Macaca mulatta: one gene and its partners. The protein of the gene in region 1 purifies or fractionates together with the protein of each later gene. This does not show direct contact. Links are inferred from orthologs where the notes say so. Each region holds a gene or a part of one and is shown in the gene's direction. Other genes may lie near its edges.

Region 1 (4,387 bases):
CTTTGTGTTAGTAATATTGCATTGTATATTGAAAATTTGCCAAGAAAGTAGATTGTAGATACTCTCACTACACACACAGTTAATTATGGAAGGCAATGGATAGGTTAATTGCTTAACTGTCATAATTGGCTGGGCGTCGTGGCTCACACCTGTAATCCCAGCACTTTGGGAGGCCAAGGTGGGCGAATCACCTGAGGTCGGGAGTTCGAAATCAGCCTGACCAACATGGAGAAACCCCGTCTCTACTAAAAATACAAAAAAATTCGACAGGCACCGTAGCGCATGCCTGTAATCCCAGCTAATCAGGAGGCTGAGGCATGAGAATCGCTTGAACCCAGGAGGCAGAGGCTGCGGTGAGCCGAGATCTCACCATTGCACTTCAGCCTGGGCAACAAAAGCAAAACTCCTTCTCAAAAAAACAAAACAAAACAAAAAACTGTCATAATTATTTCACTGGGTACATGTATATCAAAACAGCACGCTGTACGCCCTAAATACATAAAATAAAACAAACACATATTGTATTGTCAGGTAGTGATAAATCCTATCACTACCTGACAATACGGCAGTATGTGTTTTATTTTCTATATTACCTATATTTTACCTATGTGGTAAAATATTGGATAAAGAGGGGTAGGGGTAGGAGGTCCTGTTGGAGAGCATCGGTGCCCAATAAGGATTTGTAAGTATTTATTAAACAAAGAAAAGCAGAAAGTGGACGGTTGATTCACTCTTGGTGCAAGCCACCACGCTCGGCTAATTTTTGTATTTTTAGTAGAGACAGGGTTTCACCATATTTGTCAGGCTGGTCTCGAACTCCTGACTTAGTGATCCGCCCGCCTCGGCCTCTCAAAGTCCTGGGATTACAGGCGTGAGCCACCGCGTCCAGCTGATCTGGTTATTTTCAAAAGATTCCATGAGGTGGGTTTCTTCAGTTTACAGAGGAGAAAACTGAGGCATAGAAGGATAACCCAGTGAGTCCCAAAATAGAGATGGAAACTACAACCGACAAAGGGGACCCAGCGCTGAGGTCCCCGGAAATGATCATTTATGGGATTGGGGGGGCGAAGCCAGGGCAGCGCTCGCTGACCTATGACGTCATCGGGACGTTAAGAATCTTAGCATCACCTGGACGTACCCCCATTTCCCTTCCCGGACAGGTCCTCTGATAGTCGGCTAGGTTCTCAATCCAGCCTCTCATTGGTTAGTTGGTCTGTCATTCCACTTCATTCCTGCAGCCTTCCGCCCCGCCCTCTTAAGCTCGCCTCTAATAGGCTGTCGCGACCGTCACTTCAAAAAGGTCCGCATTCCTTCCGCCTTTCTCCAGGACACCGAGGGCGAGGAGGGTGGATACCAAGCGGCGCCCACCCTCAGAGCACTACTTCCATCTCTGATTGGCTCCGCTAGGTGCCAGTCGCTACCCCACCCGCCGCTGATAGGCCATTCAACGGCCGTTCTGCGCGGCGCCGGCTCCGCCCCCGTCGAGTGTTTGTGGTGGGGCTGCGGAGTTGCCGATCCCGCCGGAAGCGCCAGGACAATGGGGACCCGGGACGACGAGTACGACTACCTATTCAAAGGTGCGGCCGGTGGGGCACAGACGGGCTAGGGCGTTGCGGCGAGGCGGCGGGCAGACGGGCCAAGGCCGCGCTTCAGGCCGCTGGGCCCAGTCCGGAGCCCGGGGCTTGGGGCCCGGCGGGTCAGGCAGCCGGGAAGGCCGGGGCCGACCGGGCTCCATCAGCTTCGAGCTAGGATTCGCGGCCATGCGGAGCCAGAGGCCCGGAGAGACCTGGGGGACCCAGGATGCGCTGGGGCGGGGCTGGGGCCTAGCGGGGGTGGGGCCCGGAGCGGTGGGAGAGGCCGTTAGGGCGGGGCCTCCGGAGGGGGTGGAGCCTTCCCAGGATTTGGCGGGCCGGGCTGGGCTGAAAGCGTGGTTCGGAATGGGGGCGGGGTTTTAGAGGCGGGCTAAGGCTGATGGGTGTGACGAATAGGTGGGTTGGGCCTGGTAAGTGGGGGCGGGGCTCACGAGGCCAGTCCTGATTGGGTCAGCATGTTTGGGGGTGGGGCCCGGGATAGGCGGGGCAGACAATGGGGGCTGGGCCGAGATGAGGGCCTGGGGGTGAGGTGTGTGGTGGTGGGAGTCTTGGATTGGGGTGCAGAGCTGGGATTGAGTGGAAAGGTATCCGTGTGTGCAGCAAGAATTCCATCTCTTCACTTAGCACTCTCAACGGCGCTAAGCCAGTACCTGCACTTTTCTGAGCACTTTACGCAAACGAACTTAAATCCTCACTGCAGCCCTTTGAGGTTGATATTAACCAGCCTCTCTTTTTACACATTGGGAAACTGAAGCCCAGAGTGACAAAGACACAGTTTATAAAGTGTTGGAGCCCGATTGAGCGCAGGCCACCTGTGGGCTTTACCACTTAGGAAGCGTGTCTTAAGGGGCTTGTGGCCAGCATCTAGGACTTGGGGTTGTTAGACCACCTTCTTCCAACGTGCGCACTGATGGCCGGGGCCCCAGCCAGCCTGTTGGAGGGTCTTCCCCGCCCGAGAGACTGAGGGGGCTCTAGGAACATCAAATAAAGCCTAGTCAGATCAGGCAGCCATTGCCCGGTCTGCTGGAAGAAGCTGGAGTCCCTTGTTTCTCAGCTGAGCCTTCTATGCCCAGCTAGACTTTCGCCTAGTCGTCTGCCCTGGTTGCTGGGCTCCCTGGCTGACAATGGCAGCCCTTGAGGGTTAACCCCTGGATCCAGGGTGCCTTCACCCTGCAGCCTGCTCTATAAGGGCCTGCGTCCCACATCAGCTGTTGGTATCCTCGCCTCGCTGAGCCGTTCCTCCGAGCGTGCTCTGTGACTTGCACCAGGCCTAGCTGGGCCTTGCGTCTGGTCTCATCCAGCGTCTTGTGGTTGTGGGGAATGGGCAGAGGTCTCCCCACCTGAGCTGTCCGTGAGGCGAAAGCCTTCGGTGGAGAGGGAGAGGAAGTGTCTCTGCAAGACTCTGAAGTCGTCCTGCGGCACTGAGGGCTCTGGCAACTGCACACAGGTTGATAATATCACTGGTGGGTGAGGCTCTGTGGCTGGCAGGTGCCAGGCCCCAGGTCTCGCCCTCATGGCAGGAGGAAGCTTTGGAAGGGTTTTGGGGACTGGGATTCTAAGGGGCCATCTGGAGACAGGGGGACCAAACTTTGGGTTCTGCTGGGCGGGTGCCATCTCCACTCAGCCCTTCCTGAGGCAGCTGCTCTCAGGTCCTGGCTGGGCACCCACCCAGATGTGGCACTGCCAGGGCAGGGAGTGTTGCTCCCCACGTGCCCTGTCCAGGTTTCTGTGGTTATCCCCTGCTTGTTATTTTCGCCCTTTTGCTGTTTTAAATGACCCCAGCTCCGAGTGTTTGCCCAAGTCATGATTTTGCCCTTTGGGTTATTTCCTTGAAGTACATTCCCAGCAGAACAGTTACTGGGTCAGGAGCAACGGAGAGGCTGTGTGGTCCCGGGACCCGTCTGCAGAGACTGCCTCCTGGAAACACTGATCTAGCTCCTGCGGCAGCTGCCATTTGGCAGGCGGGCGGGCAGTGTGGGGGGGGGGGCCTGCCCTGCTGCCCTCCCCACACTGGCCTCCTTTTACTGAGTCTAAGCAGGTGCCCTGCTGACCTTCTCAAGCCAGTTGGTAGCAAAAATCTAACGCACAAGGTCAGCCTTTCCCAAACTGGTCATCTGCCGTCTCACCTTCACAGCTGTGCCTCATCAGAAGACCTCCTCTATTCTTTTTCAATATTTGTCTTTCTTTTTCTGTTTCCTTTCTTTCTTTTCTTTTTTTTTTTTTTTTTTTGAGACAGAATTTCACTCTAGTCACCCAGGCTGGAGTGCAGTGGCGCAATCTTGGCTCACTGCCACCTCCGCCTCCCGGGTTCAAACGATTCTCCTGCCTCAGCCTCCCGAGTAGCTGGGATTACAGGCACCCACCACCATGCCTGGCTAATTTTTGTATTCTTAGTAGAGACGGGGTTTCACCATGTTGGCCAGGCTGGTCTCGAACTCCTGATCTCAGGTGATCCACCTGTCTCGGCCTCCCAAAGTGCTGGGATTACAGGCATGAGCCACCACACCTGGCCTCTGCCTTGTTTTTTTTTTTTTTTTTTGGTGGCCACATCACGCACTGGCTCCCTTGACCTCAGCGGCCGAGGCCAGCAGATCCCCCGGGTGATGCCCTGTGTGCTGTTTGTTTTCCTCTGTGAATGTTCTTTCCTTCCCCCAGGAACGACACTGTTGATTTGTACCTAATTATAGAGCCTCACATTTATCCTCCTGACATTTTCTGCTTTAGCCATGGGCCATTTTCATAGCCTGCCACTAATTGCCGCAGGACCCCTGATTTCTTTTCTGATGGACTCGGGA
Region 2 (4,298 bases), on another chromosome or scaffold:
TAGCCATCCACGACTGGGGTTCTGTGGATCTGGAAGAATCAAGAGATGCACTGAACAGCTGATTGGGAGTCAGGACACTGGGATCCCAGTCCCAGCTCTGCAGAGGGACCTTGGACATGTCACTCCTCTCTTCTGAGCCTTTCCTTAACTGTAAAACTTTAAAACCTTCCAAGTGACCTTTCCAATCTGATGACTCAGTTGAACAGTTGAGCCTTTGAACTAGGACCTGGGAAATGAAGGGAAGCAGCCAATCTATTAGGCATTTGGAACAAGAAAAGGACTGCCTGGGAGCCCAGGGATAGAGGCAGGGAGAGACTAAAGAGGGCCTGGCAAGGGAGAAATGGGGAACTGCGGGCTAGGGGCCTGCCACTGTCCCGATGTTTGATTTGGCAATCCCATTTTCAGTTCCTCCTTTCTTCCCTTTTTCTAACTCAGCCTTGCCTTATCTGGTGAGGGGAGGGCAAAATAGGACACTCCCACATTGAACTCATGCCCCCCAGGATACCTTCACCTTTTCCAGCCCTCACAAGGTCCTCACCTTCCTCTGCAGCTGCCTTCCTCCAGAGCAAGGCTTTCCAGCGGGAGAAGTAGAAAGCGTAGTGAATTGGGTGGGCATCTTCCTTAGCACCCTCATAGTTACCAACTTTATTTTTTTGAGATAAGGTCTTGCTCTGTTGCCCAGGCTGGGAGTGCAGTGGCACAATCTCGGCTCACTGCACCTCGACCTCCTGGGCTCCAGAGATCCTCCAGACTCAGCCTCCCAAGTAGCTGAGACCACAGGCGCTTGTCACCACTCCCATCTAATTATTTTTAATTTTTTTTGTATTGACGGGAATCTGGCTATGTTGTCCAGGCTGGTCTCGAACTCCTGGGCTCAGGAGAGCCTCCCGTCTCAGCCTCTCAACGTGCTGGTCATGGTTATTTACTGACAACTCACCATGAGCCAGGTACTGGGCCAAGAACTGTAATGCATTATTATTATTATTTTTTACAGCAATCCTAGGAGGTGCCTGTCAGGTGAAGAAATTGAGACTTGACGTTAGGTAACCCGCGCAAGGCCACGACTGGCGATGTGACCCAGGAAATGAGGTCTGACTTCCAAGTCAGTGCTTCGGCCAGCTCCTTCCCGCCGCGCGACCTTTGGCAGCTGGGGACCCCATCCGTCACCTACCACATCTCAGATCGGATTCTCGATGCACCCGCCCCTGTCCACGTGATTCCCCCGCCTACCTGGCCACGCCAGCCCCGCCTGCGGCGCCCGGCTGCCCCGAGCTGCCGGCTCTGCTGAGGCCGGTGGGGCGGGGCGGGGCGCGGCGCGGCGCAGCAGGTGGAGCAGGCGGCTCGGGCAGGGGCGTGGCCTTAGCCGTGAGGGGCGTGGCCTGGCGGGGGTGTGGCCGGAAGCCTTAAAGTGGCCTGGTTGCCGGGGCTGGCCGTAGAGGCCGCCAGTCGCCGCGATCTTCTCCTCGCGTCTGGGGCGTTATCGTCACCATGTCCCTAATGGCCTCGGCGGGCCGGGGCCTGGGGGCCGTGTGGTCCCCAACCCACGTGCAGGTGACGGTGCTGCAGGCGCGGGGCCTGCGGGCCAAGGGCCCCGGGGGCACGAGCGACGCGTACGCGGTGATCCAGGTGGGCAAGGAGAAGTACGCCACCTCGGTGTCGGAGCGCAGCCTGGGCGCGCCTGTGTGGCGCGAGGAGGCCACCTTCGAGCTGCCGCCGCTGCTGTCCTCCGGGCCCGCGGCCGCCGCCACCCTGCAGCTCACCGTGCTGCACCGCGCGCTGCTTGGCCTCGACAAGTTCCTGGGCCGCGCCGAGGTGGACCTGCGGGATCTGCACCGCGACCAGGGCCGCAAGAAGACGCAGTGAGTACGGGCGGGGAGGGGAGGGCCCTTCCTGGGGGCGCGGACCCCTCTAGCAGGGAGGTCTGGGCTCTGGACCCTTCGAGAGTAAGCCGGGCAGCGTCAAGGAAGGCCTTTCGGGACTGAGCCCTCGGCCGGTGCTGGTCACCTGGCTTTCCCTTCTGTCCCGCCCAGCTCTCCCAGCTTTGGGATTTTTTGGAAGAAGGGGCCGTGTCTGGGGCGCTTTTTTTTTTTTTTTTTTTTTTTTTTAAAAGAGTCTCTGTCGCCCGGGCTGGAGTGCAAATGGCAATGGCACGATCTCGGCTCACTGCAACCTTCGCCTCGCTGGTTCACGTGATTCTCCTGCCTCAGCCTCCCGAGTAGCTGGGATTACAGGCGCGCACCACCACGCCCAGCTAATTTTTTTTTTTTTTGAGGCGGAGTCTTACCCTGTCGCCAGGCTGGAGTGTAGTGGCAAGATCTCGGCTCACTGCAACCTCCGCCTCGCGGGTTCAAGCGACTCTCCTGCCTCAGCCTCCCGAGTAGCTGGGACTAGAGGCGTGCGCCACCATGCCCGGCTACTTTTTGCATTTTTAGTAGAGATGGGGTTTCATTAGATTGGCCAGGATGGTCTTGAACTCCTGACCTCGTGATCCACCCGCCTCGGCCTCCCAAAGTTTTGGGATTACAGGCGTGAGCCACCGCGCCTGGCCCACCCGGCTAATTTTTGTATTTTTAGTAGAGACGGGGTTTCACCGTGTTGGCCAGGCTGGTCTCGAACTTCTGACTTCAGGTGATTCGCCCACCTTGACCTCCCAAAGTGTTGGGATTACAGACGTGAGCCATCGCGCCCGGCCTGGGGCGCTTTTGAGTCTGCAGGACGCCCCTCAGCGTCTGGCACACAGTAAGCACTAAGTGAATTTGAGATGAATTCCAACTAAACATGGGCAGGTGCCTTCTTACTAGGGTGGTAGTCCCTGTCTGATACTCGTCTTCGCTTGGGTGGAAGGCCTCCTGGGTATTTCACTGAATGGAAGAACACTTCGAGCCCAGAATGACTGGGCCAGGGCTCAGGGCAGATGAACCGGAGGCATGAAACCAGCTGACATGAAACCAGCTGACACCCCCGCCCTAAAGGCTAACCCCAGGGGCAACGCCTTTACAATGCAGGGCGGGTGGAGGTTGGGGGAGGGGAATGGTGTATGCGGGCTGTCACCTGACTGCTAACCCCTTCTACCTTGTACTTGCCTGGGGGGTTGGTGAAGAGAATTTGCCCCTCCAGAAAGAATGTTACAACAGTGTGGTGTGTGCCCTGGGCCCCACGTTAGTAAATATTTCCCCGGGTTGGAGGGAGCCCGGATGGGCCCTTGGCCGAGCAGAACTGGGCATTGTTTCTTTTTGGAGTTGGTAGAGTTATTCTCTCTGGTCCTAATCCTGGTGGATGTAGCTCCCAAAGATTGTGTCACGGTATTTCACTTCCGCAGTAAAAATGGGGCAAAAACCATTCACTCCATGATATTACCGAATTACTTGTTCCCTTTCACAGGTGTTCGGAAAGGGCAGTACTTCACCCAAAGGAACGTTTGATTATATTCATCTAGTATACCAAAGCTAGCCTCGATTAGCTTAGCTGGTTACTTTGTTAGATCTTAAATATGCAGGCCAGTCAGCACCAAAAGCCTACAGTTTAGGAAGCACACTGATTCGCTTTGTGTGTTTTAGATATACATAGCCTTTTAACTTTCCCTTGTGAGGGAGACAGGAAAAGCCAGAGGGTTTGTCCTCGGAGGCTCCCTTTACTGTGGGGTGGGTTCCATTTCAGCATGTAGGCTTGCAAATGGAATATCTGATGATGCACTTACCTGGCCAAAGATGATCAGGCATTTCTGAACTCAAATCAGATAAAACCAGCCTTGATGTGAGGATGGATGTGGGGTATCTCACAGCATCAATTTACAAGCCATAAGGTGAGCAGTGTTTTTGCTAAGGAGGGGCTGCAGCAATGCTGATCTTCCCTCTGATTAAATGACACTGGGGGCGGTGGGTCAGCTTCCCTTCCAGCTTCAGACGGGTGCTGTTGGCCATCCATTGTCTTGCGCCATCCCAACAAGTGTGTATTCACTTCCTTCTCTGCCACCTGTTTCTTATGTGGACATTTTATCCCCTTGAGAGGTAGATCACATCTCCCTGCCAGAGATGGAGATTCCAGAGTCCCGGGTCCAGTGCCCACAGCGGCCCTGACTCATTGTTGGGCTTCTCTGTCCCTAAACAGCCAAGTTTCCCTATTTGTAAATAAAGCATGTTGCCAGACTTAATTGATGTTTGTAAGATGTTTCCGGGTTCCTGGATTAATGGGGCCAATGTATTCAAGAAGTGATTGAAAAGGTTCTGTAACTGCTTTGTGAAAGATTGAAACCTCCTTGAGCTCTTTTTTTCAGGAAGAGTTCAGTCTCTGCATCTTCA
Region 3 (3,640 bases), on another chromosome or scaffold:
TCAGCCTGGGTGACAAGCAAAACTCCATCTCAAAAGAAAAAAAAAAAAGGCCGGGTGTGGTGGAGCATACCTGTAATCCCAGCTACTTGGGAGGCTGAAGCACAAGAATCACTTGAATCTGGGAAGCGGAGGCTGCAGGGAGCCGAGATCACAGCATTGCCTTCCAAACTGGCCGACAGAGTGAGACCCTGTCTTAAAACAAAACAAACCAAAAACACAGCCAGGGTCAGGTGTGGTGGCTCACACCTGTGATTCCAGCACTTTGGGAGGCTAAGGTGGGTGGATCACCTGAGGTCAGGAGTTCAAGACCATCCTGGCTAACATGGTGAAACCCCGTCTCTACTAAAAAAAAAAAACAAAAAACAAAAAACTAGCCGGGCGAGGTGACAGGCACCTATAGTCCCAGCTACTCGGGAGGCTGAGGCAGGAGAATGGCGTGAACCCGGGAGGCGGAGCTTGCAGTGAGCTGAGATCTGGCCACTGTACTCCAGCCTGGGCGACAGAGCGAGACTCTGTCTCAAAAAAAACAAACAAAAAAAAACACACAGCCAGGTTTCACTCTGCCAAAAGACAGAATCTCTGTCTTTGAGTTTACAGTCCAATTGGAGACATTAGACATTTAAGAAAAAAAAAATTTAGATATACAACAAAGCAGTGTGTACTAGGTGACAAATAGAATTGAGAAGAAATGCTCTGGTATAAAGGAGAGAAGAGACTTGACGTGGGCCTTGGGGTCTGGTAGAATATTCTGTAGTTAGAGAGAGATGAGAAGATAAGATTGAATGACTTAGATTGAAGAAACTGTCAGAAGCTAGTCTGTAGAGGGTCTGCTTTGGACCCTAGGGGAGAACATATCCCTAGCCTTGGGGGGTTCTCAGTGAGGCTGAAATTTTGAGCTCCTGTGATGGTCCTGGCAGTGGTTTGCAAACTTCAGTGCATTGGAAGTCTTCTGGAGAACTTGTTAAAAATTCAGACTTTCAGATCCCATTCCCAGTAATTCTAATTCAGATTGATGGTGGGGCCTGGGAGTCTGCATTCCGGGTAATTCTGATGCAGGTAGTTCACATGTTGAGAAATGCTGCTCTGGGCAGCCTGGGGTCCAAGTAATCAACATGGTGTGTAAGCAGAGTTTGAAAGGGAGGGATGAGCATGCTGCATCGATAGCAAGCAAGCAGGAGGGGAAAGACAGGAGACCTATACTTAGCACTTCTGACCAGCACTCCCCTGCTATCTCCAGCTCCCCGAAGTGCACACCAACAGCTGTGACAACATCTCCCAGTTCTCTGTGGACAGCATCACTAGCCAGGAGAGCAAGGAGCCTGTGTTCATTGCAGCAGGGGACATCCGGTATGGCCAGATCATATTGCCTCTATTAAAAATACAAAAAAATTAGCCGGGCGTGGTGGCGGACGCCTGTAGTCCCAGCTACTCGAGAGGCTGAGGCAGGAGAATGACATGAACCCAGGAGGCGGAGCTGGCAGTGAGCCGTGATGGCACCACTGCACTCCAGCCCGGGCAACAGAGCGAGACTCCATCTCAAAAAAAAAAGCACCCCAGGAAGGAGTTCGAGCAGTGTGTCTCAAAGTGTGGTCTCAAAGCGACTGTTTGTCAGAATCCAGAGGGAGGAAGGAGGCCTTGTTGAAAATGCAGATTCTAGGCCAGGTGCGGTGGCTCACACCTGTAATATCAGCACTTTGGGAGGCCGCAGTGGGTGGATCACAAGGTCAGGAGATCGAGACTCCTGGCTAACACAGTGCAACCCCATCTCTACTAAAAAAATACACACAAAAAATTAGCTGGGTGTGGTGGTGGGCGCCTGTAGTCCCAGCTACTCGGGAGGCTAAGGCAGGAGAATGATGTGAACCTGGGAGGTGGAGCTTGCAGTGAGCCGAGATCATGCCACTGCACTCCAGCCTGGGAGACAGAGCAAAACTCTGTCCAAAAAAAAAAAAAAATGCAGATTCTAGAGACACCCATTCTGAATCAGTCTTGATAGAGGAATATGGAGTGCCTGGTAATCTTAATTTTAACATGACTACAATCACTAAGTTAGCAAAAAGGTGTCACTGGTTATGTTTTCTTCCATGAGTCCCGTTCAGCCTGGGTTCCTATCTTAGTGTGCCCAGAATCCAGGAGACAGTGCAGGAAATGTCAGTATAGATGGCATGGGGCTTGTGGGTAGCTCCTCCAAGCAAATGATGTATTTTCTTCCTCACAGCCGGCGCCTTTCGGAACAGCTGGCTCATACCCCGACAGCCTTCAAACGAGACCCAGAAGATCCTTCTGCAGTTGCTCTCAAAGAGCCCTGGCAGGAGAAAGTACGGTGAGTTGGGTGTGGGTCTCTGAACACCTCTTAAAGCTCAGAGGCAGTTGCAGGGGCTCACTGTGCCAACTTTATTGTCCATCAGCCTCCAAAAAAATCTGTCAGACTCGCAGCCTCCAAAAAAATCTGTCAGACTCGCAGGCTGTCTGGGTCCTTGCCCTATGGGGCATTTGCTTGGAATTTTTTGTGGAAGCTATGTCTCTTGTCCTCACCGTGGCATCAACCTTTGACACCCTTTACTTCTCTCCTCACAGGAGGATCAGAGAGGGCTCCCCCTATGGCCATCTCCCCAGTTGGCGGCTCCTGTCAGTCATTGTCAAGTGTGGGGATGACCTTCGGCAAGAGCTTCTGGCCTTTCAGGTGTTGAAGCAACTGCAGGTAAGAGAAGAGAAGGAGAGGCCAGGCACAGTGGCTGTAATCCCAGCACTTTGGGAGGCCGAGGCAGTTGGATCACGAGGTCAGGAGCTCAAGATCAGCCTGGCCAAGATGGTGAAACCCTGTCTCTACTAAAAATACAAAAATTAGCTGGGCACAGTGACGGGCGCCTGTAATCCCAGCTACTCAGGAGGCTGAGGCAGGAGAATTGCTTGAACCCAGGAGGCGGAGGTTGCAGTGAGCCAAGATCGCGCCACTGCAATCTAGCCTGGGCGACAGAGCAAGACTCTGTCAAAAAAAAAAAAAAAAAGAGAGAGGAGGGGAACTCAGCACAACTCCAGCCAACCTGAGGTAACTACACAGATTATTCTCACCTTCCTGCCCAGGTCTAAAACAAAAGCAGAGTAAAGAAAAGCGGCCGGGCGCGGTGGCTCAAGCCTGTAATCCCAGCACTTTGGGAGGCCGAGGCGGGCGGATCACAAGGTCAGGAGATCGAGACCACAGTGAAACCCCGTCTCTACTAAAAATACAAAAAATTAGCTGGGCGCGGTGGCGGGCGCCTGTAGTCCCAGCTACTCAGGAGGCTGAGGCAGGAGAATGGCGGGAACCCGGGAGGCGGAGCTTGCAGTGAGCCGAGATCGCGCCACTGCACTCCAGCCTGGACAACAGCGTGAGACTCCGTCTCAAAAAAAAAAAAGAAAAGCTAGGCAACTTTCCCTTGGGAAGAATAGCCATAGGAACAACTCCACAGCGGCCTCTTTTGGCCCTTTTGTGACTTGCACCTGCCCTGTTCCAAGTCAGAACTTTAGAGTGCTAGGTTTGCCTTTTAGATCAAAACTTCCAAAATGGGCTGGCACCCTGGCATGGGCCTGTAGTCTCAGCTAGTCAGGAGGCTGAGGCAGGAGGATGTCTTGAGCCCAGGAGTTCTGGGCTATAGTCCGC

Evidence for each region.
Region 2: the proteins of RAB11B (region 1) and RAB11FIP1 purify together in Homo sapiens (affinity purification with mass spectrometry; 3 studies listed by BioGRID and IntAct, counting the BioPlex papers as one, with this or other methods). This does not show direct contact. The link is inferred for Macaca mulatta from reciprocal best matches to the Homo sapiens genes RAB11B and RAB11FIP1.
Region 3: the proteins of RAB11B (region 1) and PI4KB purify together in Homo sapiens (co-immunoprecipitation; 3 studies listed by BioGRID and IntAct, with this or other methods). This does not show direct contact. The link is inferred for Macaca mulatta from reciprocal best matches to the Homo sapiens genes RAB11B and PI4KB.

Annotation. Positions count from the first base shown.
Region 1 is NC_133424.1:9,236,372-9,240,758, forward strand, and holds the start of RAB11B (ras-related protein Rab-11B), read left to right. Parts: upstream 1-1,472; 5' UTR 1,473-1,537; coding exon 1,538-1,577; intron 1,578-3,792; exon of another isoform or gene 3,793-3,922; intron 3,923-4,387. UniProt on the Homo sapiens protein: The small GTPases Rab are key regulators of intracellular membrane trafficking, from the formation of transport vesicles to their fusion with membranes.
Region 2 is NC_133413.1:39,830,359-39,834,656, reverse strand, and holds the start of RAB11FIP1 (rab11 family-interacting protein 1), read left to right. Parts: upstream 1-1,432; 5' UTR 1,433-1,488; coding exon 1,489-1,859; intron 1,860-4,298. UniProt on the Homo sapiens protein: A Rab11 effector protein involved in the endosomal recycling process. Also involved in controlling membrane trafficking along the phagocytic pathway and in phagocytosis. Interaction with RAB14 may function in the process of neurite formation.
Region 3 is NC_133406.1:115,778,126-115,781,765, forward strand, and holds part of PI4KB (phosphatidylinositol 4-kinase beta), read left to right. Parts: intron 1-1,237; coding exon 1,238-1,347; intron 1,348-2,218; coding exon 2,219-2,323; intron 2,324-2,577; coding exon 2,578-2,701; intron 2,702-3,640. UniProt on the Homo sapiens protein: Phosphorylates phosphatidylinositol (PI) in the first committed step in the production of the second messenger inositol-1,4,5,-trisphosphate (PIP). May regulate Golgi disintegration/reorganization during mitosis, possibly via its phosphorylation.